Yarrowia lipolytica: one gene and its partners. The protein of the gene in region 1 interacts with the protein of each later gene in a pairwise test. Links are inferred from orthologs where the notes say so. Each region holds a gene or a part of one and is shown on either strand. Other genes may lie near its edges. The genes, in order: YALI1_A14390g, YALI1_E28170g and YALI1_C02831g.

What was found.
Region 2: the proteins of YALI1_A14390g (region 1) and YALI1_E28170g interact in binary tests that used the Saccharomyces cerevisiae proteins (3 or more experiments, as listed by UniProt). The link is inferred for Yarrowia lipolytica from reciprocal best matches to the Saccharomyces cerevisiae genes NGG1 and SPT8.
Region 3: the proteins of YALI1_A14390g (region 1) and YALI1_C02831g interact in binary tests that used the Saccharomyces cerevisiae proteins (3 or more experiments, as listed by UniProt). The link is inferred for Yarrowia lipolytica from reciprocal best matches to the Saccharomyces cerevisiae genes NGG1 and TRA1.

What each region holds. Positions count from the first base shown.
Region 1 is NC_090770.1:1,433,392-1,443,440, reverse strand, and holds YALI1_A14390g (uncharacterized protein), read right to left. Parts: upstream 4,432-10,049; coding exon 2,524-4,431; downstream 1-2,523. Other genes in the region: YALI1_A14430g (uncharacterized protein), read left to right, coding at 178-354, 409-603; YALI1_A14414g (uncharacterized protein), read left to right, coding at 703-884, 954-1,110, 2,039-2,107; YALI1_A14377g (uncharacterized protein), read right to left, coding at 5,276-5,752; YALI1_A14368g (uncharacterized protein), read right to left, coding at 5,882-6,580; YALI1_A14345g (uncharacterized protein), read right to left, coding at 6,986-8,929. UniProt on the Saccharomyces cerevisiae protein: Component of the transcription coactivator SAGA complex. SAGA acts as a general cofactor required for essentially all RNA polymerase II transcription. At the promoters, SAGA is required for transcription pre-initiation complex (PIC) recruitment.
Region 2 is NC_090774.1:2,811,571-2,821,414, forward strand, and holds YALI1_E28170g (uncharacterized protein), read left to right. Parts: upstream 1-5,425; coding exon 5,426-7,165; downstream 7,166-9,844. Other genes in the region: YALI1_E28107g (uncharacterized protein), read left to right, coding at 1-13; YALI1_E28130g (mitochondrial 54S ribosomal protein uL22m), read right to left, coding at 618-1,496; YALI1_E28150g (uncharacterized protein), read right to left, coding at 2,507-3,412; YALI1_E28156g (uncharacterized protein), read left to right, coding at 4,069-4,133, 4,188-4,692; YALI1_E28213g (uncharacterized protein), read right to left, coding at 7,409-9,757. UniProt on the Saccharomyces cerevisiae protein: Component of the transcription coactivator SAGA complex. SAGA acts as a general cofactor required for essentially all RNA polymerase II transcription. At the promoters, SAGA is required for transcription pre-initiation complex (PIC) recruitment.
Region 3 is NC_090772.1:277,260-287,986, reverse strand, and holds the start of YALI1_C02831g (uncharacterized protein), read left to right. Parts: upstream 1-3,812; coding exon 3,813-3,876; intron 3,877-4,387; coding exon 4,388-4,551; intron 4,552-4,807; coding exon 4,808-10,727. Other genes in the region: YALI1_C02873g (uncharacterized protein), read right to left, coding at 300-418, 473-611; YALI1_C02866g (uncharacterized protein), read right to left, coding at 643-1,326. UniProt on the Saccharomyces cerevisiae protein: Essential scaffold subunit of the transcription coactivator SAGA complex. SAGA acts as a general cofactor required for essentially all RNA polymerase II transcription.

The DNA of each region.
Region 1 (10,049 bases):
CGTCAACGGAGGATGGAGTAAGGAACGGGCCAAAAAGAACGGCTGAAGAGGAATTAACCGCGGAGCGAGAGCAAGATTGTGTATCCATTCTCCCCGTCACCTTTCGTGCCTTCCCACTACCGACGAACTTATATCATCTCCATCTCCTCCGATTTGTGTTTCGGCAAATGAAAAACAATGGAGCCTGAAGCATCACTTGCGGATGAGCTAAAGCGTCTATTGCGGGTAGAGTTGGCCCCAAAGAGCCGAAACCATAAGAGCTTATGTTTGAGCCCACACTTTGGAGAGAAGGAGAGAGGGTGGACTCCGAGAGAGGAGACAGAAAGAGACAGAAAGAGTCTCCAGACATCAACAGTATCCCACCAGTCGGCTTCTTTTTTTGTTTATCTGCCGCCTCCCGACCTCTAGACCACGTACCAAACCGACACAGACACCCAAGAACCCGTGATAGTCATCCCAAGAACCCGCCATAGTCACCCAAGATCGCGCTCATCAACACGCCCACCGTTTCAGTCTCAAACTGTCCCGTGTCTGACCGCTAGCCCCAAAATATCCAGCAAGCCTGACACCCCCAACTTCACACTCACTCACACACCCGACTGATCAGACAGCCCCAACCTGCTGTTGAAACCGGAACAGCACATACTTATATATACACTTGCCCCCGCTCCACCCACCACATCACCAACGTCACTTGCCACAATGAAACAATTGGTCGTCATGGTGGACCCCTCGGACCCCAACACAATCACAGAGTGGTATTGCTGTCAGTGTGGCGAGTACCACGGCAAGCCGCCCACCCGCTACGATTGTAAGCGATGCACCCACGGACTGTGTCCCTACTGTCCTCGAAAGCGAGTGGGTGATGAGAAGCAGCGTGGGTCGTGATCTAGGCGAGGACTAGGCGAGCGGAGCGAGTCTAGGACGAGACGAGTTCTGGATCAAGTTGCGAGTTCTGGATCGAGTTGCGAGTTGAGTCATTTGAGCTACTTCAAAGCCCGACACCAACGTCGAAGCCCTACGCCAAAGCCCTACGCCAAAGCCCTACGCCAATTGAACCAGCCTGACTCCGTTCTACTCCCCCTCCCCTTCACCCTCCCTCACCGTCACGTCCCTTGCATAGCATAGCCATCTGGAATGGCCTGTATATATTTAACGATGAAGATGAGACTGCCGTAACGTCGTGCACTAGCCCTGTGCCCGACATGACCTTGCGTGACAAACGCATTTTGATCTGTCCTGCAAATGCAGCTGCTATGCGCGGTTTAGCAATGCCGGTTAGAGCGAAAGAACGGGTCACGTGGAGGTTGTCATATTATTTCGTCACGTGAGATTTGTACTGGTGGTCACGAGATTTGACAAACCTCCTACGCTTTTTATTCGGCGATTATGCCGTGATGCTTTAGGAGTTGATGTGATGCAGAGTGAGCAGAGTGAGCAGAGTGAGAAGAGTTAGCAGAGTGAGCATGGTTTACGGGAAAGCAAAGTGTGGGTGTTGTATGTTGCAATGTGGGTGTCTTATATGATGGATTTGAGGTACAAGAATGTTTGTTTCGGGCGCGAGTACTTTCTGTACGGTGGTTGTACTGGTATCACGGATCTGACGGTATTGTATGTTGTTGTCTTGTAGTGAGATAAGTGACATTCTGTTAAGAGATGGTTTTGAATGACTGACTGACAAATACTTATATCTTCTTTTATTTCACTCACTTTTACTTTTCAACTCATTCTTTACTCTTTCACTCACTCTTCACTCTTCCACCCACTCTTCACTCTTCCACTCTTCCACTCTTTCACTCCCACTCCCACTCCCACTCTCGCTCACCATTCAGCCCATTCTTCCTACACTCTTCCTTTCAAAGAATGCCACAATCAGATAGAGTGGCTATGACGACTCATTGTCTCCAGGAATGATACTAGACATTCAACATGGATTCAAACCACCCAGACTACCCGTGACCACCGCTAGTGTCTCCATGTTTCGCGCCTAACCCCGCTCGCCACTCCACTACGGCCACCAAGTTACTGCTTACCTCAGTCGTCGCTTGATCACCGTCTGTCAGTCACCCAGCAAAAGCAGTTGTCTCCGTACAATAATGGAGTTTAGAACAGGGCTGGACATTCCGCATGGTTACTGTGAGCCAGAGGATGGTTACAGCTACAGCAGGGTTAAACCGTGGCTACAAGGGCTTCTTACCGGGCACATGTCGGAAATCTCCTTGTGAATGTTTCAAGTCTGCCACTACAAGTACATTTCTGTACAGTATGTACTGTATGTCGTACATTCTGTACGAACTGCTGGCACAATGTTCGCCTCGGACCTCTGTTTGTCTCTTGTCTTGAAACCCCTCAGACCTCAGAACACACTACAATATAAGTACGCTGACCCTCTACGCGACGCAACTGCCATCTGTCACCACCTCAATTGTCACCATCCCATCCATTCTATTATATACTATATGGGGCGGCAATAGCCACCCTTTTCCCAGCACCCACATCTGCGTCTTACTGCACATCAGCGTCTTACTGCACAAACATGGAGTCGTCAAACTCGCCTCCGTCACTCTCATCATCACTGCCCTCAAGATCCTTAAACACAGACACAGACGGCACTCGTTTCATGTCGTGTGGAGATGACGAAAACACAGGCCCAATCTTGTCGATCCACCGGTTTCGCTTGTCCAGCAGCACTCGAAGACCGGGCCGCTCCTGAGGTACAGCGGTGCCATTGTTGTTCTGCTGCTTCTTCTTTTTCGACTTGGGGTTGCGGATCCGCTTGAGGTAGGCCTGGTCCACCTGCTTGTCCAGGTCCTCCAGAATCTGCCGGAATTCCTGGTACGCCATCTGCTCCTTGACGATGGGCAGTAGGATACGTTTGCGTGCCTGGTTGGTCTTGTGCACCTGGCGCAGCTTCTTCTGCAGCACGCGCATCTGCTGGCAGATTTCGTCGTCCTCCCGGCCGTGCACCCAGTCGATTTCCAGGTCCTCGTTGTTCTCGTCGTCGTCAAGATCGTCCATGAGGTCCATCTCGTCGTCGCGCTTGGAGAACCGCTTGCCCTGCTTCTTTTTGTTCACGTCCATGATTCCCACGTACGTAAACTCGCGCTTGAGCCGCTGCTCCAGCGTCAGATAGTCACCCTTGGCTGTCGCCACCTTCCAGCTGGGGTTGATTAGCGGGCTTTGTGGAGGCGAAGACGACACTGCGGCGGCAGGGGTCGCGCTGTTCTCGTCGTCCTTAGGCTCCTCCTTGATTTCCTTTTTGTTGGGGTCCGGGAGCAGCGCAGACAGCAGACGCGACGCCAGAGGGCCGCAACTAATGTCCGAGCTCTCCAGCGCGTCGTCCACCAGATCCTCGCTCTTGCCCTTGGGCTCAATCTCCGCGAGCTCCGTCTTTGGGGGCGGCGAGAACCGGGACGCTGAGGCTGCGTTGCCAGCAGCAATACCTGCCTCGGCGTCTTCAGCAGCCCACGCGTCGGTGTAGGGGGGACCCAAAGGGGGCACGAGGTACGGTGAGATCTCTGCATCCTTGCCCGTGGCGTAAAGCGGAGCACCCGTGGCTCCAAGCGGGATGGACTGTTGGAGGAGCACGGACACGTCTTCCTCGGAAAAGGGTCGAAAGTAGGGCTCGATCGCAGTCGCAAAGGTCGAAAACTGCACCTGGTTGGGCGGCTTGGCCCGAGTGTAGTCTTGGTCCGGGATTGGGCCGGCCAACTGGTCCTTTAGGTCCGTGGTAGGGTAAGAGGCGACTCCATATTTCAGCTTGAGAGCCTCCTCTCCGGTGTAAGGGATGGTTTTTTCGTCGTAGAGCTTGAGCACCGACAGGGGCAGCGTCTGGGAGTCGACAAACTCGGACTTTGGGTTCTTTTCATACTCCTTGGGGGAGCCCTCTCCGGGGGGAGAGGTTTGGATCGTGGTTAGATCGCTATCAATGTTGAGTTTGACCGGTTCAATCTTCTTTTCCGCGGGTAGTTCGTCCACATCTTCCATTTTGATGTCCTTATTCTCGGTCTGAGAAGACCCTCCAGAAGCTGCTGCTGCTGTTTTCGACGAGGTTGACGACGAGCTGCTGCTCTGCTTGGGTCCTTTTCCCTTGCCCTTTCCGACACCCTTACCTCCGCTCTTGCCTCCCTTTCGCTCCCGGCGTCCCACCGTTTCGTCGATGGCCCGAATCACGGCCTTGTGGTTTTCCAGCACGCCACGGGTCCTCTGTCGAATCTGCCGCAACTCGTTCTGGAGCTCCACCAGCCCGTTCACAGAAACACGTGCATCTTCCGAAAGATCGATCCCATTGGTTTTGAGAAACGAGTTGGGTAACGTCAGCGCGTTCTGTAGCCGTCTCAGCAGCAGCGCGTCTGTGGGCGGCGGTGATGTGGACTTGGATTCCGGCTCCGCAGACGAAACCGCATGAGATCTTGATCGTCGACTGGCCATGTTGCGTGGCGAGATGAGTTATTATTTGTTTGTTGGTGTGGTTTTTTTCTCCGCCCGTTTCCTCTCGCTGTGGCTGCTTGGTCTTGTCGTCGATTTCGCTGTGTCGCCTGAAAGATTGTGTGTCTCGTCACGGCCTGTTTTTTTTTGAATTTTTCCTCCTCGTCAAGCACGCCGTTTTTTCCAAACCTCGTGATCGATGGGGCGCCGCCTCCTCCCAAAACCTGTGGGTTAGGGTTCCGTGAGAAGGTTGTGGAAGTTGAGGCCATCTCGGATATATACGCTACCAGTGGCGTATTAAACTCTATTGACTGCGGGGAAATGAGGGGGCGAAGGGATACCATTGTTCTAGCCACTCGTAAGATCATCTTCGGGCGTTGTTTTCGCCGGATTTGTGTCCTCCAAAGTCGTAGCGTTTCGTAGTTGATTGTACTATTGTGATTACTAATCGCATAAAGTTTGCGTTTTGCGGCCGGGTAACTGAATTTGACCACGCCATACTTCAACCTTCTTTTTGAGGGGTTCATGATAGGGTTAGGGTTGGGGTACAGGGTACAGGGTAAGGGGTACGGTAGTTTGTATTGTACGTTTACACCTCCGTTGAATGGTGATAATAAGTGATGACAGTTATGAACTTTGGCTGAGATGGAATAAGTCGGTGTTTTGACGGGCTGAAAGTGGTTGTTGTGTAACGGTTGTAGTATTGGAAGAGTATGGAGATGAAGAGTATTGAGAAGTAGGGTATCTTCGGAGAGTGGATTTCAGTGGATCAGTGAACGTTAGGTTTGGAGTTCTCCGATGTTTTGTTGGTTGTCGGAAGTATTTCCCAATATTACTGTTTTCGTTGTCAGTAGTAGCGGCTATTCTGGGTTAGTACGGAGTCGGCAGATGTATGGATGTGAGCAAGAAGGTGAATTAGGGTGAATAAGAGGTGAGTGATATCTTTCACGTTTTCCGACTGACGAATCTTGAAGTTCAATTGACCTGGTATATTGTACAAGTACAAGTACAAGTACTTGTAAAATAGTCGTTCCATGACGTGCTTGAACCTGCTCACTGACTGGAATTCTCTCTGCTCGGTTTGACGTGATCCAGTTATGTCCATCCAATTCAGAAGACATAAGATGTTATTGGTCAAAGAACAGGTTCGAGTGAAAATGGTGGAAGATTGAAACGAGGAGATGATGGAATTGATTTGAATTCTGGTCACTTTCGTGCTTGTGATTGTGCTCATATCTGTTCCTGTACTTGTAGAGAAGTAACAGGCCTTTGAAACATTCTGGATGAATGAACACTCAACTTGTCCATTACTTGTAGCTAACATACCTCAATCTAGTTCACAGATGCCTCATATACGCCCTGATAATGCGGTTTGGTGGACCCACACGTATGACCATGCCTCTTGAGAACGGCTCCTCCCACCACTGGCGAGGGTCCTATCACCACTGAAACACTACTCACGACAACCTCCGCCAAACCGCCTCACGGGCTCCTCCCGAATACTAGCGAGGGTCCCATTTGGCGGAGTGGAGACCAACATCATGTCGTAATGCATCTTCTCGATTTCGGCGTCCTTTTGATACAACAGGTTCGTGAGCTGCTCCAAAACCGCCTCCTGGTTCTCAATCACTACTCGCATCTCCTGCACCAGCTGATGGTGGAAGTCCGTGAGCATGTATTTTGGCGGCTGTTCTTCAAGGGCCTTTTTCTTCTCGTCTTCTCTGATGGCCTTGCGTCGTTTGCGTGCCGTGGGGCCAAACTTGTTGCGAATCTTGGCTGCCAGTCTGTCGGCCCGTGACGGGCCAATGTTCCACTTGCCGTACAGAATCTCGCGCTGGTGGCGGATCACGGGCCGGTTGGGGTTCTCGGGAGGCAGTCGCGCGTCGAGCTGCGGATCGTTGTGCACTTCAAGCAGCTCGTTGAGAGACATGACCTGCGGCGGCTGGTTGAGGCCCGAGTTGGACGGGTTGACGTTGGCCGCGTTGATGGTGGTGGCATTGGCCAGCGGGCTGGGTGGAGCTGCTGATCTCCGTGAGCCGTTGCCAACAAAGGTGCCGAGAGCATCAATAACATGGGGACCACGGGGAGCCGTGGAGCTATTGAGCAAACAAGGTCCAGAGCCATTCATGGTAAGTGGCGAATGAGTGGACATTAGAGAGAGGCTGGCGTTAGAGTAATCACAGACAAAAACCAAGAGAGCAGAAACCGAGCTGAGTTGAAAAGTGGGGACATTTTCAGCTCCACTTTTCGGCTCCACCCGGTATCTTCATTCACATGACCAAAACGTCAACACCAGCTGTCTGAAGAGGGTAAACATGAACGAGTACAAGTATACATAGCACGTTGATACCCCATCGTCAACAAGTACATACAGTATTGCACTCGCATATACTCCACCACTACAACTCCATGTTTGTCTAATAATAATACCACAAAATTTTATACACTACATAGCCCTGTCTTCCCTAGATTGCGTGCAAACGGAGCAGGCTTCATCCAGACATCTAATGTCTTTGTTAACTGCCAGACACCCGTCCGGCCTCGCGACCGCCCAGGATTATCTGTTGACAGGAAAGTATCGCCAGATTCGAGCCTTGCAATCTCCACTTCCAGTAGCAAACAACCCGCCCATGGGACTAGGAGCCACACTGATGACCGAATTTCGATGACCCTGCAGCATGAGTTGCACCTGGCCCGTTCGAGGGTCCCAGAATTGCACACCCCGGTCCTTGGAGCCGGAAAGAATCCACTGCCCATCCAGCGTGCTGGCCACACTCAGAACAAAGTCCTTGTGTCCACACAGCGTCTTGACGCAGACGCCTCCTCGCTGGTTGGCCTGAATGCCTCGAGGAGCCTGCAGCTCCCACAGCTTGATCGTCTTGTCCAGCGAGCCGGAAACAAGATCCATACCGTTGGGGGTGAAAGCTACACTATAGACGGAGTCCTTGTGTCCATCAGGGGCCTCCAGACGCTCAACCAGGAAACCGGTAGAGGTGTCCCAGATTCGCACAGACTTGTCCAAGCTGCCTGCAGCCACAAACTTGCCGTCGGGCGAGATGGCCACCGTGGTGACGCCGTCCTCGATCGACAGGGTTAGAGTACACTGGCCGCTCTCAATATCCCACATTCGGACTGTGCGGTCGCCAGAGCCAGAGGCAATGTGTCGGCCGTTTCGCGAAAAGTCCAGCGAGTAAATGTCCTGCTCGTGGCCAGTGAACACGTGCCGTATGCTCTGAGATTTAATGTCCCACACTCGGATCTGCTTGTCCTCGGCGCCGGTGGCCAGGTACTTACCGTCCGGCGAGAAACACACGGACCGGATGTACAGGTCGCCTTCTCGGTCGACCGAGTCGTCCTGCAGCCGGCAGATGAGCTGGCCAGTCTGCACGTCGAAAATCTGGGCAGATCGGTTACAGCCAGTGGCAATGTACTTGCCGTCAGCGGAGAACCGCACACAGCACACTACAGAGTTGTGGTCCAGCGACTGCACAATATCCACGTCCAGCAGCCGTGGTGCTCGCTGGTTGTAAACGACAAACCAGTCGGCCTTTTGTTTTTTGAGCTCCGGAGGTACCCGCTCAATGTCCATGTCGCCCAGGTAGTTGCCCATCTCTTCGGGGCTCTGTTGCTGCTGCTGGGGAGGTTGCTGCTGCTGTGGAGGGCCCTGCTGTTGCTGCTGCTGTTGCATCTCTTGGGGGGCCACCTGGGGAGACGCCTTGCCGGGAACGGGGGTCGACACCTGTCGCTTCTTGCTGTTGGGCGAGGCCATTGCGCTGATGACGGGGGGTCCGTTATGTGGCGAAGACGTGTAGCCGTTAGCACCCACGTAGCCGGAGTAGGGCTGGGGTTGACCAGGTTGGGGCTGACCAGGCTGGGGCTGACCGGGCTGTCCCTGCGGGGGAGCCAGAGAAGAGGTGCCGGGCTGACCGGACATGATGCCGCTGAACACGTTGGATGATGGACGCAGCAGCGACGGGGGCTGTCCTTGCGAAGGGGGCACACCACCCATGTGGTGGGCCTGGGCCTGGGCCTGCTGTTGAGCCTGGGCCTGCTGTTGGGCCAGAGCCTGCTGCTGGGCGGCCTGCTGCTGGGCGAGGGCCTGCTGCTGGGCTGCCTGTTGTTGCGCGGCCCGTGCTTGTTGGTCCTGTGCCTGCTGGTTCTGCTGCTGCTGTTGCTGCTGTTGCTGTTGCTGCTGTTGCTGCTGCTGGGAGTGTGCGGGGTTCGCAGCGGGTCCACCTCGGGCCTCCAGCTCGCTCTTGAGCCGCATGATTTCCTCCTCGTAGCGCTCCTTCATCTTTCGGTGCGCCATTTCTAGCTCGTAGACCGACTGTCGAATCTGGCCCAGATCTGACGTCTGCTGGTTCACCTTGACGTCAAACTCGTCCTTGTGCAGCCGGTAGACGGACGCCTCGTTGGTCACGGAGTCGAACTCCTGTTTGATGGCCTCCAGAAGCTCGTTGAGCCGTTGGCCCGGCGCTATTACTTGTTGGGGGAAGCTCATCTGGGTTAGTATTGTAGAGTCTGGTGTGACCTATGACCCAAGAGGCTGACGGGTGATGCAGATTCGATGATTCATGGATGGCAGAGATAAGGGCAGAGGCAAGGGCAGAGAAAGAGATGGCTAAAGATGGCGGAGGTAAGATGGCGATAAGATGGCGATAAGATGGCGATTAAAAATGGCGATAAGATGGACAACACAACTGCGGACACGTGTTAGGATGGACTCCAAGCGTCATTGTCCGACGATGACGCGTTCCAATCGCCAAGACGTGATGAATGCCCTCTTTTGGGTCTTGTGAACCCATCATCACCGATTACCCTTCACCACCACCACCACCACCATCCATCATCACCAATCATGCATCGCAGACGGCCATCATCCGACCTCCATCGCCATCATCCAACTCCATCGCCACCATCCAACTCCATCGCCAATCCATCCACGTGGCATTATCTCTGTGTCGTCATGTTCGGGTCTCGTGTTCCGTTCTGATGTCGTGTATCTTGTCGTGTCACGGGAAGCAAAAAACATTACAAGAAGGCCGGCTTGGGGCCGTTCGCCGGTGTCGGGGATTCTGCATCTGTGTGCGTCTCGTCATCGTCTGCGTCGACGCGCTCCGGTCTCGTACTCACCTGGTCCTATTGTACAACTCGTTGATGGCTCAAGCACAATTGCCAATTGTCGATGATACACCTGCAGCGCTGAAAATGAGTAGTGCTGTGTTGTGTGAGAAACAAGCTCCAAAGATGTAGTGCAAGGTCGGGTAATTCTAAAAGATGGCTGTCATGCCCCGTTGGGTTGGCGTGGGTTAGGGCCCAACCTTATTCTCACCATCGTCGAAAAACAAGTGGGGGGGACCCCAAGAGGGGGCACTCTGACGCTCAACCTTATTTAAGCTTTGTCCGTCTAAATAGAGTGATTTTTGAAATAGGCTCCGAAACTCTAAAGTTTAGAAGTGGCTACTGTATGACGTTGTCATGTTTCTCACGCTGGCAGTTTAGGGTAAGGGGTGGGATTAGAGTTCCCAGGTACTTGTATACGCCGAGTCTAAAATAAACGCCTAAAAGAGGTGGGAGATAATGTCCCAGCCAATGGCGGCCAAGAGTCCAAGATTGTCTGG
Region 2 (9,844 bases), on another chromosome or scaffold:
CGATGACGAGTAAATAGCATGAATTCATTAGACTTATAAGTTGCACAGACCGAGGGACGGCACTTGGAGGAAGATGGTCGGTACAATTGGACTGTAGCCCAACCTGCCGCAACACTTCATGATGGAGTACCAACGACCACCCGACAAGTTGGAGTCGTTCGGAAGGTGTATCTTGGAACAGTACATATATACTCGTACTTCTAGATGTTAATAGTCAGAACTCCAGATCACACTGTTCCATTCATATAAATGTCCTGACAAGTAGGTGCAAGTGCAGACGTATGACCAACACCTCTTCTCCGAGATTATGTTCGACAGATGATTAGTGTATTCTACTGTCTAAGCACAGCCCTTCGTCATTTACATATCAACTGGTACATACAGTACTCGTTCCTCTGAGCTCTTAGATCATCTTCACCTGTTTCATGGAAGCGATCTCGTCACCTGATATGTTCCAGCTGCTACCCCGTTGCTGCTACTTCTGTTACTCATTCTTCGGTGGCTTACTCGTTAAGAACTAACAACTCGTTTCGCACGCTATTCGCTCATCGGTTACTCATTTTGTTCATTTCGTTCGAGCAACGCGCTATGCTCGTCACTCGCCCTAGCTATATACATTACCATCGGTAGTCAGACTTGAGGTACCCATCTCCCACCTTTCGGGTCTCGTGCTGGAACACGGGCTTCTTGGCCAGGCGCTTGTACTCCTTGTCACGGGCCTCTCGCTGCTGGGTCACGGGGGTTCGCAGAATAGCCCGGATGTGGATGTACTCGGCGTGTTTCATGCCGGCTCGTCCTCGGCCCTTCGGGTCCACGAACCGGAACTTTCGGGGGTCCGAGCCGACCCAGATCTCGTCAATGTACAGAGTCTCGGGGTCAATGTTCATGTCCTTGGCGGCGCTGACTCCTCGCTGGAGCAGCTCAGCAACGGGTCGGCCCATTCGCTTGGCAGAAAACTGGCACTGAGTGATGGCCTCACGCACGTTCATCTTACGCAGCATTCGCAGCAGCAGCTGGGCCTTCTTCCAGGTGCCGTCGATTCGGTACGACTTGCAGTAGACAGAGGGCTCGAACGCCTTGATCTCGTTGGGCGACAGCACCATCTGGTACTCCCGGCCGTCGACAGACACCTTTTTGGTCTTGTCGTAGCCCTTGTGCTGGCTCTGGTAGGCGTCCCACAGCCGCTGCTTGAGGGCGGTGCCGTACTTTGCAATACCCACCTCCGCCTCGCCCTTTTGCTCGGCAATGTACTCCTGCAGCTTGGTGTCGTTTTTGAACGATGGCAGCTTGCCCTTGGTCTCGTCGGCGTTCTGCTCGACCTCCTTGGATCTCTTGTTTGCCGTCGCCTTGTCCAGATCCTGCTTGATGGACTCCTTGTTTTCTGTCATGCTGCCGAACCAGTCGTTGGATCGCGCGGCGGTAGAGTGGAACGGCCGCAGGGCAACCAGCCGGGAGGCCGGCGCCACGCTTTTGCCAAACATCTTCTTCCACAGCATGGTTGTGTGTGCTGTTATACGGTCAGTGAGGGCTCGTATGGTGATGCGTCAACTGGAGATAGATTTTTCAGGGTACGGGTTAACAGAGAGTCAACCTAAACGGGAGAAACTGCAACAACCGTGAGACAAGAGTATACTGTCGGAGCCGAATCGGAGTTAGGAGCGATATAAGTGGTTGTAGGAAGGAATCTTGTCCTCGTTTACACATAAGTCGGTCGAACAACACCAATAATCACCTCATTCTTCAATCCCCATCCTTTCTTCAACCCATGCAGTAGTCTGGAGAGTGGTGTCGGGTCCCGTGGGTTCGATTCCAGGTTGTGTTCATTCTTGTATGCACTTTTAGAATTGTTAATATGTTGATGAAGAGCACGGTTTTTGGTTATCCTGGGGTCTACGTATGTATTAATTCTGTCTTTTGAATATCTCTACTATCATTACTTGTTTCAGTAGACACCTCCTCTCTATATATACTCGGATATATTGACATGATTTAGTATACACAGCCAACAGAGTGGTTATTATTGGTACTGGATTAGTAAGCAATGTAAGATCACGTGAGAAGACACAACCGAAACAGCTGTCTCAGATTCTTCGCTCTTGACACTTGTATCTCTCTCATGGTGTCTGGAAGCCCGCAACCGAGACATATAGCATGGTCTTTTTTAGTTGACTTTTAGTTGAAAGAAGAAGTTGTGATGGGTTTCTGTCTGGTGCTCCAGTTGCTTTCGTAGAGAAAAAAGCGTATAAAACTGTAGAGCAGTGTCACACAGTCTCCGATATATACTATTGACATGATATTTCTGTTACAAACTCGCCCATTCGACACAGTTATGTGATTTCAAGCTGATACTTTACTTGAATGTTTAGTTGACAAGTGTGTCTGGCGTGGGTCCGAATACAACGACTACAGTGCTCTTTGAGATTTGCAGTGTCCACTCTCTCTACCCTCTCATGTCATAATCATTAAATATGTAAATGCAGTGTATCACGATTTTCTATCCTCACGGTCACGCCATGTCTCTCAGTTCCACCTCGCCCGAACGCAACAGTCGATGGCCCTCATCGCTGTCGTCTTCTTCTCCCATCACTTCCACGTCCACGGGCTTCACGTACTTCCTCTTGACCAGAGGACGACATCCCTTGTATTTCACCTGCTGGTAGAGCAGAACGAGATCCCAGAAAAAGCGGAACCAGCATGCCCAAAAGAGACCCGAGGGACGCACGGCCCGCACGACTTTGTTTCGGTTTCTCTCCTTGGTGGGCTTGGCCTTTTTGGCGCCCAGAACGTCGAGAATCCCGAAAAACGCGCCCGCCAGATCCAGCACAATGAGCAAAAACGACGAGCCCACACAGCTCTGCACCGTCCAGTTGCACGACACCTGCGGCACGTAACGGGCGTAGACGCTGAAGTCTCCGATGATTCCAAGCCAGTCCACCACGTCAATGAACTTGATACCCAGATAGCCGACTCCAGGAGGCGAGGGCACCTTTGCAAAGGGATGGGACTTGACCGCCATCAGCAGGAACACAAGCACGCCGAAAAAAAGACCCATAATCACCTTGCATTCCAGAGACCACGACTGCGCATTGGTCTGGGTGTGTCTGTATGAATACCACGCCTGCACAGCACACACGCCCCACACCAATGACTCGTTCAAGTCAATTAGGGCAATCACCCCGGACGCGCTGGGCATATCAAACGCTAACGGGTATCTCTGCACAAACTGCCGATGGACCAGATCGCTGTTGATGTATGTGAGGGTGAAGACGAAATGACACACCGCCCCCACGAACGCCCAGAGTCCGTAGTCGAGCGAAAAGCCAGCCACCGACGACCGTTTGTTGTTGAGAACGGCCTGCGGATACGGCGTAAGCAGCCGCAACGCCTGGTGCAAATATATCCATCCCGTCATAGCTGGGTCGATATGCCGTAATTATATATGAGATGAGGTATATATTGAGACCGCGTATGCATGCTTGGTGCAGTATGCATAAACCTTAATATGATACATTATATAGCGGGGTGAGTTGGATATTGAGGTTGGCTGATATTGAGGTTTTGTCGATTGGGGAAAGGAGATTGGCGAATTTGGTAGACAGAAGAGATATTGTGATACATGTTCACACACTCTGCGGTTCATCCAGTACTTTGTAAGCGTAATATAGATTCGACTGTAACTTGCCCATTATTCTCACAGGCGACTAAAGAATAAAAGAAATGGATTCCTCAGATACAGAGGATCATTTTGGTACCAGGAACGGGTGGTTTAGATGGCGTTCATGTGCTGTTATGTGTTACTTTGACTTGTTATGTTGATGTTCTACTTAGAGAGAGTGGGAGTGCGGCAAGTGCGTCGCGGCAAGGGGTGTGTTTCCCCTGTTTTTTTTTTCCCCCTCTTTTTTCTTCTTCTTTCTACTCATCGCTTTACCACCCTCCTTTGGCGCATCTAACACTCCAACCATAGTCCTTCGACTCAATCGCCCAATTTGATCTCTTCACTTGTCACCAACCTCTCCTGTGCAGTTGTCATGTGCTCCACCACAACTCCTCTTCCTGGCGACATGACAAATGGGGCTACTCACGATCATCAAGAAACAAAAGCTCAAGGATAAGGAGATCCGTGTGCTCATGCTGTGAGTGAGAGGAAGCGACGTGTCTGGGTGTGAGAGGGAACAGTACTAACACAGTGGTCTGGACAACTCGGGCAAGACGACGATAGTCAAGAAGATTCTCAACGAGGACGTGAACGAGGTGTCTCCGACGCTGGGCTTCAACATCCGCACGGTGACAAGGGGCCAGTACAAGCTCAACATCTGGGACATTGGCGGCCAAAAGACTCTGCGACCTTTCTGGAGAAACTACTTTGAGAAGACGGACTTCATGATCTGGGTGGTAGACGCCAGTGCCACCGACCGACTCCACGATTGCCGCAAAGAGCTGCAAGCGATTCTCAACGAGGACCGACTGGTTGGAGCCGGAGTGCTCATCTGGATCAACAAGCTGGATCTGGTGGACCCAGATCAGCGGGACAAGACCGTTGAACGCATCAGCGGCCATCTGGACCTCGACCAGATCCCCGAGGGCCACAACACCACCATAATGGGCTGCAGTGCGTACACGGGGTACAATTTGGACGCAGGCATGGATCTGGTGGTGAAAGAGGTGTCTGAACGGTTGTTTTTGTTTGATTAGGAACGAGGAGCGAGGAGCGAGGAGCGTCTACAGTCAAGACTGGACTAGGAGAAAGTCGAAAACGTCGAAAAGTTGCATCTAAACGACGAAAAGAGGGTCTTTAAGTCATCAGTGCACGGCAGAAGAACCAAAGTGCTTGAACTGGAGGAGAATGTGGGTTGAATGGAGTGTGTACTACCTACAGTACTTACAATACTTGGTAACTGAGTTGTATACCCAGCTGTCAGGAATATGAAACCAGGTGGTTTTCGAACCCGATAATTTTCATAGATGGATAGAATAGATCTCAAGTACTGAATTATTTGTACGAGTACTGACATTTTGTACTTGTTCTTCTACTCGTACTTACTCAGTTCTTTTTTATTCTTTTTTTATTTTTTATATATATTTTTTATATTAATTTTTACACTCACCTTTCCTTCTCTTTTAACTAATGGTTCTCTAGTTTAGTTGACTAATATTAGATCTTAGTTAAGTGGGTTTCGATACATACTGCCGTTCTCATGCTCGTTTTAAAAGTAGTTCCTTTTTCGTAAGACTGATGAAATTACTGAAGAAATGACAATACTCTCACCTTTGTGTTTGTGTCACTCTCTGTGGCCCCATTGTGAATATAAATGCCCCCTCGTGTCCCCCTCTGTCCCGCTGTGCACTCCCGTTTAACTTTGGCGGTTGCAACATGCGGAGCTAAGTACGATACTTCCAGGACACTGCCAGTTTGCACGACACGCAAATGTCCAAAGACGACTTTCTCGACGACAAGGCGCTGAACCAGCTGGAGGAGGAGGACGAGGAGGAGGACGACCAGCAGCATGAGAACGAGGACGATTTGTTTGAAGACGCGCTGGAAAACAACATGGAGATGGACGACACGGAGGATGTGGTGATGGGCGATGGAGACGAGGAGGCAGAAGACGAAGAGGTCGAGGAAGAGGAGGACGAGGAGGTGGTGACGAGGTCCAAGTCAAACGGCCACATGGCGGCGTCGACGTCGAACGGATCGCACATTGTCTTTGATGACAGTGGCTCCAGCGACATTCCCGAACATGTGCTCAAGTACACCGGCCGCAGAAACATTCCGCTCTGTACCAACACAGACTCGTGCGAGGGCTACGACATTGTGCCATACGTGGCGGCGATCCACAGCTGTCCCGTGCATGCGATAGATCTGTCGTGGGAGCTAAAGTGGATGTTTACCGGTGGCCAGGACGGCTTTGTGCGCAAGTACGATTTTTTTGCGTCCGTCAACGGCAAGCTGCCCCTGACGGTAGCCCAACGGCATCCGTTTGTGGACTGTGTGACCAAGGCTGGCGTTCTGACGTCGTACTGGGAAAACGAACAGCCCGTTTATGAAACAGACATCAAGCCTAAGGATGGGCTCTACGAGCCCAAGCTGTCGTGCGTGTACTCGCTGGCGGCGCATTCGCGGTGTCTGTGGCTGCTTTCGGGTTTGCAGAGTGGAGGAATCACGCTGATGAGCGTACGACACAACGAGGGCCAGATCCAGGCGTACCTCGAGAAACATACGTCTACGGTATCGGTGCTGGTTCTCAACCAGTGGGAGAACAGACTCTTGTCTGGATCGTGGGACAAGACCGTCAACGAGTGGGATTTGGACACGGGCAATGTGGTTCGGACGTTTGACGGCATTTCTGGCCAGGTCAGCACCGTGCAGTATCAGCCAGTCGGAGGCGCAATAGTGTCTCGAAATCTGGGTCTAGAGGGGCTGGATAGTGACAGAACGGCCCGGGGCAAAGAGATTCTCGAGGGAGACGAGGAGGAAGACGACGACAAAAGCATGGGGTCGTTGTTCGGGTCGGACGAGGAGGAGGAGGGCGAGTCCGAGGTGAAAAAGGAGGAGGTGGACGTGGCAGCAGATAAGGAGGCCAGCGAAAGTGTCAAGCCAGGTGATGGTGATGGCAGCGAAGAGCCGACCCGCAACACTACCTCGGAGTCCATATTTCTCACGTCGGCCATTGATGGAACAGTAGACATTTGGGATAGACGGCAGCAGCAGCGAATCACACGAATTGCGGTGCCTCAAGGCACCCCGCCGTGGTGTATGAGTGCATGCTGGTCGACCGACGGAGACCGCATCTACGTTGGTCGACGAAACAGCACGGTGGAGGAGTTTTCGCTGCGAGGCAATGTGCACGAGCCATCTAAGGTGTTCAAGTTCCCGTCCGTGTCAGGTGCCGTGAGCACCGTGGCTGCCATGCCCAATAACCGACACGTGTTGTGCGGCTCTCACGACAATGTTCGGCTGTACGACGTGCAGAGCTCCAAGCAGCAGGCTGTGCCGTTCTGGATTGTGCCGGGACATCAGGGCGGTATTCTGTCGTCCATCAAGGTCGATCCTAGTTGTCGATACATGGTCACCTCCAGTGGAGACCGAGGCTGGAGTGGAACCACCAGTACAGATGTTGCCTTGGTGTACGAGATTGATCCCATTGTCGGCACCAAGAATCTGTGAGGTGGGTGGAGACTGGGTTGGATAGATGGAGACTGGGTTGGATTGCCCATGACTGATCCTTCAAAAGCCCTTTGTAACAGTATTAATGTATTATATGAATGGTCTTGCACGACCATACGGGTACACACCACACGGGCCTAACCCGAGAAGTACACATCTTGGTAATAATCATAATGTATTGTCGTCATACTATTCCTTTTTCCTCCTTCCTATCACATGCATATATACAGAAAAATGTCGGTGCTATCTGGCCGAGCGGATCGGTTGGTTGTCCGTCTCCGTCTCCGTCTCCGGGTCCCGGTCCAGTCCGACGTGGGATGCGATTTCGTCGTTGGATTCCGTCTGTAGCAGCTCGAGCTCTGCTGTGTCGTCTTTGGCGTATCCGGCGGCCTTGGCCTCCTTTTTGGCCTCCTGGGCGTCGAGGAACTTGTCCACGGCGACGCGCAGCTTTTGGGGCACATTCCAGCCATGCTCGTCGGCTATCGGCAGCAGTAGCGCCACGTGCTCCAGGTACGAGTAGACGTCGTTGTTGTCGACGGCAATGTTCCAGAAGACGCGGGCCTTTTCCAGCCGTCCGGCGCGAATGTGGGCGTCCAGAGGGATGAAAACCACCTTGTTGGTGGGCGTGTTGATGGTCATGGCCAGTCGGAGTGCCTCTTCGGCCAGATCGAACCGCCCGCTGTAACACGACGCCGTCACCAGCGTGTTGAACACCTCGGGGGCAAACATGTTCACCTTGGCCACGTCGACAAAGTCTCTGACAAGCCACAGACATTGCGAAATGTCGCCGGTGCAGCGCAGAACCGACGAGACGAAGGAAGACATGAGCGCAAACCCCATGTCGCTGAGCAGCCACTTCCACCGCGCCGGCATCCGGTCTCCCTTACTCAGCTGAACCGCTACATGGTCTCGGTACTTTTCGTACAGATCGCGCACCAGCTCCACCTGGTCGGCCTGGTCCAGTATTGCGCGGTAAAGGATATGCAACGAGGCCACGTCGGACTTGTAGACGCGGAACCCGGCCTTTCGGGGCTCCAGTTGCGGCAGCTCGCCCAGCGCAACGTCCAGCGGAATGGAGTTGTGGGCGCTGCCCCGCAGAACAAAGGCAAAGATGCCCAGCTCCATGAGCGAATGCGGCGTGTACAGCTGACAGTAGACCGCCAGCGTCTCCTTGAGGTCCTTGCTCTTGGCCACCGCCTCAAAGTAGTCTGTGGCAATCTCGGTGGGGATGTAGCTTTGGGCCGCCACGTCCATGGTGTGGGTGATGGCCTCCTCGTAGTAGCCACGCTCCTTGTAGCCGTGGATCAACAGCCCGTAGCATTGCAGGTCCGGAGCACAGCCCTTTTCCTTCATTGTTTGGAACACGGACACTCCGTCTCGCATGCCTTCAAACTTGACTGCGCGGTAGAGCAGCATGCGGAAGGCGCCCATGCGCGTTTTCTCATCCAGCAACCGGTCGGCAAACTTGGACGAGTTCATGACCTCGATGGACGCCTCGGCATCGCCTCGGTTGCACATTAGATACATGAGCGAGAAGATGCTTTCGTCCTGGTACCACCAGCGTTGCGATTGCTGCAGATGGTAGTCGACGAGGTCCTGGCGTGCCGAGGGCGACACCTTTGACACTTGTAGAGCGAGTTTGGAGAAGGTTCGGCCGTCGCAGGGGTACTGTCTGTCTCTGAGGATCTGCAGAAACACATGGAGCCAGTTTGGAGGCAGTTGGTTTTCGATCCGGCTCGAAAACGGCACGTTTGGAGGCAGACCCGTCTCGTGGTTGTATTTGGAAAAGAGCGAGCACAGGTGCGCCAGCTCCTGGTCCGAGGGCTTGGGCGACGGACACACGTGGTGCGAGGCGTAGCGGAAAAATCGGTCCAGGTTCAGCTGGTAGCCCCATGCGTTGCCAATCGGCAGGTCGTAGACGTACTGGGTCTGGGCGAAAATGCTGTAGAGATCAATCACCAGTTGCGGGTGCGCCTTTGTGTTTCTGAGCGAGCTCACGATGTAGCCCATGAGTGCTGGGGCCAGGGTAGTCTTGCCCAGAATCCGCCAGATCCGCCGCGTCATGAGATACTTGCAGTCCTGGGGAGGCGCCCCAAGCATGTCGCCGTTCATGTCCACGTGCAATGCGCTTTCGATGGCTCCAAACGCCTGGCCCAGCAGCGCGTGATCTGCATTGAGCGAGTCTTCCGTCTGGGGAGCACAGTCCACATACTTGATGGGCATGGCCTTGCGGGCAGCCAAACGCACGCCCAGCGCCATGAGATTCACCATTTTGCGCCGCTGCTGGCCCGCAGAAAGCCCCTCCTGGTTCATAGCGGCACTTTTCAGCCGGTTCACCGTCTCTCGTCCATACCGCACATCGTTGCCAGCCTTGCGAGTCCGCCCTCCATCCAAAAACGACCACTGGCCCTTATACGCCACAAACCGCTTGTGGTCATCCTGCCACAGACTGCTCGGACAGTCGAGATGGTCGTAGAGGCTCAGGGAGCTCCGGGTGTCACCTCCGCTCCATAACGGATCGTCGTCAGGCAGCGGAGGCTTGTACCCCAGCTTCGGAAGGTACGTTGCCCTTCCTTTCTTCACCCTAAGCATGGTCCGTAAAAAGCTCGTGCGAATTCTCCAGCCGTAGGCAAACCGCAGCTGTCGAGGTAGGTTGTCTTTTCCAGCAGATCTCAGCCG
Region 3 (10,727 bases), on another chromosome or scaffold:
GTTAATAAAACGACTCATCGCAAGGACACCACGTTCCTGTAGCACTCGCCAGAAAAATTCTAGATCAGTAGATAAACCTATCTACAGGACATCGTCTAATATGGACATCTCGTCTACTACCAGGCTGGTTCCTCTCATCACTGTGTCATGAGCTCTGATCATTATGTGAGGAACTGACCCGGAATCACCTTACCGGGTATTTCAACACACATTGGGTGAGACTAGGAGTGGATAAAGGCCCATTAAGTCTGGAGGGCGGTTGTTCTTGAGACTAGAATAGCTTGGTGGTTTTTTTGCCCTCAAAAATTCCCATCAAAGAACGGTACGCCGTAGAATGGCAGTAGAAACGGTGACATGGGACGACGAGTAGGTAGATACTGTACCGGTAGGTGCTTGTAGTAGGTACCTACTTCAATGTCTTCATTCCGGGATTAGACAGCTTAGATTGGTAAAAATCTCCGATTAAATCAACAGCATGGTTCTTCTGTTGACCACCCAGAGGGAACCGACTGCTGAATAGACACTTTTGGTATCAATACTTTGGTAACAAGAACAAGAAAATTGTCATTCACGGTAGAGATGTCCTTTCTTGGAGCCCTCCATCTCCCCATTAACGACTCTTGCTGTACATACCTACTCATCTCAGTCCTGACAAACACAATTAATCAACTGCAACAATAGCTGTGGACTGAGAGAAATAGTGCCGTTTAGATAGCTTTTTAGAGCTGTTTTAGCCGACCGGACTGCCAAAACCGCCACATCTTCCTCCTCGGCCCGGCTGACGTTGGGGGAAGATGTAGCTAGAGCCTCTGAGAAACTGAGACGGGGGTCGGTGACGGTCGACGTAAGGATGCTGTTTTCCCGGCAAAATCTACTTTTGGACTGTTTCTCAGTAGTCGCCATTCGTCTAACAGTCTGCTGTAGTCTTGCTGAGTCCAACTGTGGAGTGGTTCTTTTGTATTTGGCAGGCTGGACGTGTCTTATTGAAGGGACATTTCTCGGGGTAGCTTTAGATAAAGCATATGACGTCCGTTGGCCTTCAGTTTGGGGTTTTTGTCGAAACTTTTCACTTCTCTGTTGGGCATCTTTTGTAGCGTGTGTACTGGCGTCCCTGTAGCCAGAAGTGATCCGGTTGGCGTGTTTGAGCTGTGCAGAGTCCTGTCCCGCTCTGTAACTGGTCGGAGATACCCATCTGGGGCGTCCGATGGAGTTGGATTTGTGTCTTTTGGCATCTTTCAGTCGCTGGTCGTTTCTGATTCGGGCCGCTTCCAGACGAGCCTTGCTGTCAGCTAGTTGCGCGTTGAGCTGTCCAATGTTTATGGCCATGGAAGAGGTTGAGCTGGTGTTTAGAAGGAGATGATGAGCTGGTGTAGAATATCTCGAGAGATGGAGAAGAGAAAGAGACGATCTTAGGTGGTGATGTAGTTTAAGTAACAACCCAGTTCTGGTACAAGTAACCAGGGAAACAGTGACTGAATATTGAAAACTGCCAATACGTTCGGTGGTCTCATCTTCAAGTATCTATGTCGCCTGTTCAACCTCCAACTGAAATAATACGGGTTTTTTAGTCGAAATTTATAGCGCATGTGGAACATGTGGCTGCTTAGTTGGCTCTTAAGTAAACCCAACTAATGATACTGACCCATATCCTACACATGGCCAGTCAAAACAAATCAGGGACTTTAACAGCTGACTAAAATTCACTAATACGACGGTCACGTGATCTTATTATCTATCTGTGAAAAGATCAGCTCACTTGTATTTGTGAAATCGCGAAATTGGGCTGTTTCGCCATGTATCAATGCCTAGTTCTCTTCATGAGTATAGTTACATTTAGTTGACATTAATGGAGATAATACCCTCCTGAATGGGGAAAATCATCCAACAGCATGACGACAGCTTTCACACCTTTCCTTTCATCTTCTAATCGAATTTCCCGTTAAAATCTTCCACTTGAAACACGTGTTTTTTGTTTTGTTTTATTCTAGTCCTTCTGCTGTCGTTGATACAACATTCTCTCCTCTCCCCAACAAAAACAACCCCCAGAGGCATCAGATCAACATTTATCGAGGTTTTTGTATGTGTGAATGTATATAGAGCCCTCTGCAACTTTCCACAATCAGTCCCCTCGCCCATTACGCCCTGTAAGGCCAGAAAAATGAATGGGGGAAAAAAAGCCAGATTTCACTGTAGCTGGGTCCAAACAGAAAAAAATTATAATATCACTGATGTGGTGGCTCAATGGTAGAGCTTTCGACTCCAGTCAACTTGGTTGTAATCGAAGGGTTGCAGGTTCAATTCCTGTCCATGTCAAGTTCTAACAGAACTGACAGTGGAGGAACATATGGGGGTTTAATTCCCCTAGCTTCTAGCTGATCAGTGATTTTTTTGAATTCCACACAGCGAGAACGGGTCTATTTTTTTCCTTCCAGGGTATTCCTCCAATGCTTTACTGGTTTTTATCTCCTAGATATCTCGCCTTTTGCTCATGCGGCTCGGAAATTGTGCCCTCAAAAATGAGTCGGAATATGAGAGCTGATCCGACCGTGTATAGACCAGAATGTAGATGAAAAGTGTATGAAAATGTCTGAGTGGAAACCACAAAACAACTGAATTCCCAACATTCTGCTGCCATACAATCTGATTACGTAACAGAGACTTATCTAAGGGTGCAGTATACAAGTTCACCTTCATCTTCCAAACACACATCGCTCATCTATCTCCTCATCCACAGCTTCTATAGTAAATCCGACAATCACAATTGATTCAGCGGAGCGGGTTTGATCACCTCATCAAGTCATCAAGTCCTGTTCCCATCTTCTGTCATATCCTGCTTCCCCATCTCCTATCCAGCCCTGCTCAACCTCCACTGACCTCAACTCCGTCAAAAAACACCCCAGATTCTCAAAAAAACACCCTCACAACTTCAAAAACTCGAGTGGAACCTTATAATCAACTCCCCTTTCCATTATCCCACTTTTTCCGTTTTTTTATGTCGCCCCAAAACCCGTCTTTCACATCTACCCTGCATCCTCCTCCGGAACAAAACAGTCCGATATAGTGTAGGGGCTATCACATCACGCTCTCAAGTCGAGAACCGTGGAGACCGGGGTTCGATTCCCCGTATCGGAGTGTGCTAGACGCAAGTAAGTAAGCGTCACCTCTCTTTTTCCCTCCCCACCCTCACTACGGCATTTTGGTAGGACGTGCTTACTAAGCGCCAGACAATTGGTACACGCTTACTAAGAGATGCCTTCTCTCGTCTAAATGTTCGAAACCTTATGTACGATTACATAAGCAAATTTCACAAACGGGGTTCCCACATTTTTGTCAGATTCCAGACGTTGCCATTATCAGCCAAAATTCTTGATTTTTACCTTCAAATTTGGTATCGGGGAGGAGCTCAAGATACGCTGATTCCATAAATCCACTCAGATTTTCAATCCACCCAATATTTGGTCCTTAACGAGGGTGATCACTTTTCTCATAGAAAAATTAAACTTTCCCAGCCACTGACCAGAAGGGAAAGCTAAACACGAAATTGGAGACGGGCATTCGGATGTGTTGCTGACGAGCTATTGAAAATCTCAATATACAGATCGACTCGAAATCGCTTATATCACGGGAAAATCTTTTCAATTTTGAAAAAACCGCCCCCCACTCGCCATTTATCGGTTTTCAACCCTATACACGCTTACGTAAGGAAATTTCACAAGGTGCATGTCCCAGTTGGTGTTCACGAACATTTCGGTAGTCTCTTTTGCTCCACACATCACATTTCCACATCGTTTTTGAGCCCGTCACAGCCCAAAATGCGCGACGCTTCAACCCAGGCGCAAGTTGATGCGTTCCACAGCCGTCTGAGCGATGATTCCGGTGAGTATTGAGCAGGTGAAGAGGCGGAGAGGTGTGAGACACCCAGTGATGGAACTCGACAAAATGCGAAGGAGACGTCTGAGTGACAAAAGAGGTGGATAGGGTGAATAACACGATGGAGACGAGCCAGGATCACGTTTTTTTGAGCTCATTCGACGGTTTTTGGGCGAAATGGATGTGGTGTTGTGATGGTCAGTGAGAATTGTCTGTAGAGACGCTGGCATAACACCAGTGGTCGACACTATGGGCTCTGCTACTTTTGAAAGGCTGGCATAACAGTGTTCCTCACCACGGACTCTGCCACTTTTACTGTAGCACTTCATATTCGTCCGTTCCAGCGTCCATTCGCCCATGCATGCTACACTGTCTGTCATATCGTCCTTCACCGGTCTAAATCGTTCGGTTTGGCATTCTCGTCGCTACATATCGCCATCATCTCGAGAGCAACATATCGTCGCTCTGCCCTTTCATCCATTCGCTCTTGGAGCTCCATTGAACTCCGCTAACCCAGACCTAAAATCAAAAGTAGTCGCTGCGTCAGAACTCCGAGATGCCGTTGATTCATTTCAATCTTCCCCCGCAGACTACGAATACTATCTGCAGAAGATGATGCCGGTATACACCAAAATCTTGGAGTCCACCCCCGTGTCTTTCACGAGTATTTCCGTCGAGCAAGTGAGTACGATAGAATCATTCTAGAGGAATGGCAAGAGAAAAACCTGATAAATGCAGACGACACACGAGATACAACAATCACCTCTCATCTCACTCGGTTCCTGGTTCAATCTCAGAGATGAGGAGTGACTAATATGGACTGGAGGATACTGTCACAGTTGTTGCTGCTGTTGATGAATGACATCTGCCACTATGGCTCTCAGTATGTCTGCCTTTCTTCACTTAGTCACTCACCCCACCTCCCGTACTAACTCAGAAACTCCGATCATCGATCCTCGAAATACTCCTTCGTCTACAAACCAACGATCTCCTCAAACCCTACTCCTCCGCTCTGTTGGAGCAAATCATGTCCATCCTCCGTACCGACAACGAAGAAAACGGAGTGACATGTATGAAAATCCTCACGGCCCTGCACAAGGGCTACAAGGCGCACCTGGGCGGCGACCACGTGACCCAGTTCCTTGAGCTCGTCACCGACCTCTACAAGAACATCCCCTCGGTCGTCAAGGACACGTTTGGCGTCAACCAGACCGGCTCCTCAAACTTCCAGTCCCCCATGTCGCCGTCTCTAGTCTCTGACGGAGACGTGAGCGTCGCCACACCTGGCGGAGCAGCTTCTCGCCCCCTGGCCAAGTCGTTGTTCTCATTCAAGGTGCTCATTGAGTGCCCCATCATTGTGGTACTGCTCTTCTCCACCCACAGAGCCATGGTGCCCACACTCTTGCCTCAGTTCCTGCCTCACGTGATTGAGATGCTGAGAATTCAAGCCCCTCCCCAGGCCGAGGCCCATGCCCAGGCCGAGGCTCGTGGCGATATCCTGACGACCATCTCGCCCCAGATCCGCAACCGCGCGGCTTACGGCGACTTCATCACCTGCCAGGTCAAGACCATGTCGTTTCTGGCATACGCGCTGCGAGGCTTCCCGCCGTTTCTGCAGGAATATCACGTGATCATTCCCGATCTCGTGGTGCGTCTTCTTCAGGACTGCCCCTGCGAGCTTTCCGCCGCTCGAAAGGAGCTCCTGGTCGCCGCTCGACACATTACGTCGACGGATATAAGGACCATGTTCATCCCCAAAATTGACATTCTGCTGGAGGAGCGGGTGTTGATTGGTGATGGTCTGACAGTCAGAGAAACGCTCAAGCCGCTGGCATACTCTATCATGGCGGATCTCATTCACCACGTGCGCAGCGAATTGACGCTCCAGCAAATCTGGAAGACTGTCAAGGTGTACTGCGCCAATATGCTGGACGCGTCGCTGGCCAACTCGTTCCAGATTATGAGTGCCAAGCTGCTCCTGAACCTTGTGGACCCGATCATGAAGCTGCAGGATCGCAACGAGGGCCGTCAGACCATGGTATTGATTCTGAATGCCTTCACAGAGCTCTTCGGTGCCCTCAACAGAACATATCCCAATGTCATGAGGGGCCACGAGCGGTGGCTGAAAGAGCAGGCTGAGAAGAAGGCTGAAGGTGGAGACAAACCCATTGCTGAAGTCAAGCCCGAGGAGGACATCCAGGTTGACGTGAAGCTGGGAACCTCTGCTGAGTCATCTGGGCTCAAACGCAAGGCCGAGGACCTAGAAGTCGACGAGGTCGAGTCCAACGATGTCGTCCCGCAGAAGCCCCGGATCGAATCCGAGTACGACTTTGACTACTTTGAGATCCAGGCGTCGTCGCTGATCAAGATTCACCCTACTCCCACGACGGATCCCCTCGAGGACGCCCGTTACTTGTTCAAGAACCTCATGAACTTCCTCAAAACGGTCATGTTTGGCCTCAAGTCGTGCAACCCACCATGTCCAATTGCCGACATTAGCGAGGCTGTGTGGAACGAGTCCGCCCGACTGTTCAACTTTGAGCAAATTACTATCTTCCGCAAGCTGTTTGAGGAGGGCATCAAGGGTCATCTGTTTTTCGCCTCTCACGTGACCGACAAGACCGCTACGGTCGCCAACAACGACCTCGGTGCCCCCTCGCTGCCTGTGGTCAGTTCCAAAGCCGAGAAGGATCTCATGGAGACATTTGTGACCGTGTTCATTCACATTGACTCGGCGTCGTTCAACGAGATCATCGAGAGCGAGCTCCCCTTTCTCTACGACGCCATGTTCTCCAATTCTGCACTGCTTCACATCCCCCAATTCTTCATGGCTTCCGAAGCTACTTCTGCCAACTTCTCTTCGTTGCTGATTTCGTTTCTGAAGGAGAAGCTCCCTGAGCTCGGAGACGGAAACATTCAAAAATCAAACATTCTGATCCGGCTCTTCAAGCTGTGTTTCATGGCGGTGAACCTGTTCCCCGCTCAGAACGAGGCTGTTCTTCTACCACATCTCAAGAGTCTCATTATCGACTCGATGAAACTGACCACCACCAGCAAGGACCCAATCGTGTACTTTTACCTGCTGCGAACATTGTTCCGAAGCATTGGAGGAGGCAGATTCGAGCTGCTATACAAGGAGGTGCTCCCTTTGCTCCAGTCGCTGCTCGAGTCACTGAATAAGCTGCTTCTGACTGCCAGAAAGCCACAGGAGAGAGATATTTACGTCGAGCTGTGTCTCACGGTTCCCGTGCGTCTTTCTGTGCTCGTCCCGCACCTCTCCTACCTCATGTCTCCGCTTGTCGTTGCTCTCAACGGCTCTCAGGAGCTCGTGTCGCAAGGTCTCCGGACTCTCGAGCTCTGCGTCGACAACCTCACGGCCGAGTACTTTGACCCCATCATCGAGCCCGTTATGGACAAGGTGATGCAGGCGCTGTGGAACCATCTCAAGCCGTTGCCGTACTACCATCAGCACTCGCATACGACTTTGAGGATCCTGGGCAAGCTGGGTGGCAGAAACAGACGTTTTCTGACTCCTCCCGACAACCTCAAGACGATTTCCGCGGTGCACAATGATCTGGCGATCGTGGCCAAGTTCCAGGGCGTGGAGGAAAAGCTACCTGTGAACATTACGCCTGCTCTGGAGGCTTCTGTGGCGATTCTGGAGGACTCCAAGCGGCGTCTAGAGTACCGGGTGAGTGCGTTCAAGTACCTGTCGGGCTGCCTGAAACTGCTGATCGACGCTCATCCTATTGCATCTGATATGAGCGAGACTATCAAGAAGGCGGTGACTGCTCTGACGATGGAGGGTTTCCCCAAATCCAAGGATAACGGCGAGTACCACCTCAAGGATGGTAAAGTCAAGTACCCCGTCAAGCGCAAGCTCGAGGATGAGCTACTGACGATGCTGCTGGAGTCGCTCTTCTTCTCTCTATCCATCGACGCTGTCAAGGAGGAGGCCACTGAGCTTATTCACAACCTGTGCGACCATTTTGTCTTCCTGAACCTTGGTAGATATGTTTTGGACAAACGGAAGGAACTCACCTCGTTTGATCTCAACGAACATGAGGGCAAGACCTTTTTGGACTGCAAGGCAATCATTGGCGCTATCATGTTTGCTCTCAGCCACTACAATGAGTCCATCAAGCAAGGAGGTATTGACGCTATTAAGCATATGTTCAACACCGGTGTTACTGTATTTGGCAGCAAGGAGCTAGCGTTCAAGTTCCCTCTGTACGTGTCCATGTATAGACGCTTCTCGCATGGCTGCTTCGAGGAGGAGTACTACCGCAAGTACGGCGCTGTATTAGGTCTCAAGACGCTGATGCAGGACCTGGACTGTCCACTGCGGTGGATCCAGGTGAAGCAGATTGAGTTCACCCGAACCATTCTGTTTGTGTGCAAGGACGTGCCCCCGGATGTGCCTGGTCACGTGAGAGATGTGGCTCGAAATCTTTATCTCCACATTTTGCGTCGCTGCAACACTGATCTGTCTGCCGAGCAGATGGCAGACAAGTCGTTCAAGCAGGTGGTTGGTTTGCTAGCCTACGATCTCGGCAACGCCAACATTTCCGTGCGGGAGACTTCCAAGCAGGCTCTGGCTACTCTTGCTGAAGTGACAAAGTCTGCGTCCGTGTCTGCCATCCTTGAGCCCGTCAAAACTATTCTACTGGCTCCAATTTTCGGCAAGCCGCTGCGAGCTCTGCCTTTCCCTATGCAGATTGGCCACATTGACGCCATTACCTACTGCCTGGGTCTCGGCAACGGCTTCCTGCCCTTCAACGACGAGCTCACTCGTTTGATTCTGGAAGCTCTGGCATTGGTTGACGCCGAGGACGAGTCTCTAACTGCTGCTCACCGAGTATTCGAACAGCGAACAGCCGAGCAACTCGTGCAACTCCGAATCGTCTGTATCAAGTTGCTGTCCGCTGCACTCGCCCAGACCGAGTACACGGCGATCCAGGCACCTCCCACTCGGTCCAAGATCATTGCCGTATTCTTCAAGACGCTCTATTCGCGATCCGACGCCGTTATCGAAGCTGCCCACCAGGGTCTGCGGTCTGTTCTCTCCAACAAGAACAAGTTGCCCAAAGACCTGCTTCAGAATGGACTCAAGCCTATTCTCATGTCGCTGTCGGACCACAAGCGACTGTCCGTGGCCGGCCTTCAGGGCCTCGCCAAGCTGCTAGAGCTCCTGACGTCTTATTTCAAGGTTGAGATTGGCCGCAAGCTGCTGGACCACCTGAGAGCTTGTGCTGAACCTCAGACTCTCCACCAACTGGCTACTCATAACCTGTCTCTCCAGCAGAACGTACAGATCATCGTGGCCATTTTGAACGTGTTCCACCTGTTGCCGTCTACCGCACACACATTCATGAACGATATTGTCAATATGATTGTATATCTGGAGAGAAATCTGCGTCGTCAGCAGAAGAGTCCCTTCAGGGTGCCCGTCGGCAAGTTCTTCAACTGCTACCCCGAGCAGACGTTTGACTACTTTGCTCCAAAGCTGCAGGACCGAACACTTGGTCGGTTGTTTTCTTCGATTTTGACCGAGGACGTTTGTGACGAGCTCAGAGGCGTGGTCATCACCCGTATGGACGAACTGGTGGCCAAGATTGGCGAGTTGCAAGGTGGACAGAGAGCAGTTGCCATCTGTAACCTGGTTGAGGTGGTGGCTTCTGTGAACGCCAAGCCAGCCAAGCCCAAGGTGGTGAAGGAGGAGAAGAAGGAGGAGGGAGAGGCCGACGGTGAGACAAAGGCAGTGACCAAGACAGAGGATTCCACGGCTGAAATCAAGCCTGTCATGACCCCCCAGCTCCTCTCCAAGCTCGTGGGCCACGTGAAGGACCTGCCTGCTCTGGTATCCAAAACCCTACCCACAGACCCCATCCACATTCAGACGGAGCAGACCATCGAGACGCTGCAGAACATTGCGGTCGCGTTTCTGAAGTCGCGTGATCCGTCCACCTCATCCATCGACATGGTGTTCGGCCTCATCAAGGTATTCACGTCCAACAAAGAGCTCAAAATCTCGTGGTCGTTTCAGCAGTACATTTTCAACTCGCTGGTGTGTTCCACGGACGTGCTGATGCGGCGCAAGTATCTGACCAAGGCGGTGGAGCTGTGCAGCACCTCCAGACACCTCAATATTGCCGGACGAATCTTTGTGTTCAACAAGCTTGTCAATCCGATCCTAATTGTCGAGCAAAAACGCAACAAGTCGCTCGCTCTTCTATTGGACAAGATTTCGCAGAACAACAAGGCCGGCAACTGGCTGGATTTGGTGCACACCAAGATCTGGCGTCCCTCGCAACTTGATGCTACCGACGACAAGTCTGCGTCTATTGACCAGCTTCGGTTCGAGCTGTTGCACTTGTCTGCCCTGCTCATCAACTACGCTCCTCAGTTGGTGGCTGAGGGCCGAAAGGACATGATCAAGTTTGGCTGGAACTTTATCAAGCTCGACGACATTGTGTCCAAACAAGCAGCGTACGTGGTCATCTCGTACTTCATTGCCGCCTACGAGACGCTGCCCAAGATTGTGATTCAGATCTACGTGGCGCTTCTGAAGACGTCGCAGAACGAGGCTCGTCAGCTGGTGAAACAAGCGCTCGATTTGCTGGCCCCCGTGCTCCCAGACAGAATCCCATCTCCTACATGGGCCAAGTGGCCTCGACGGGTGCTGTCTGAGTACGGACACAACATCATGCAGGTGATTGGCGTCTACCAGTTTGTGGTGCGGTACCCGGACCTCTTCTACGAGTACTCTGTTTACTTTGTCCCTAACATCATTGCCACAATGCCCAAGCTGTCGTTCTCGCCTGGTTCGCCCTCAGAGAACCAGAATCTCGCTGCCG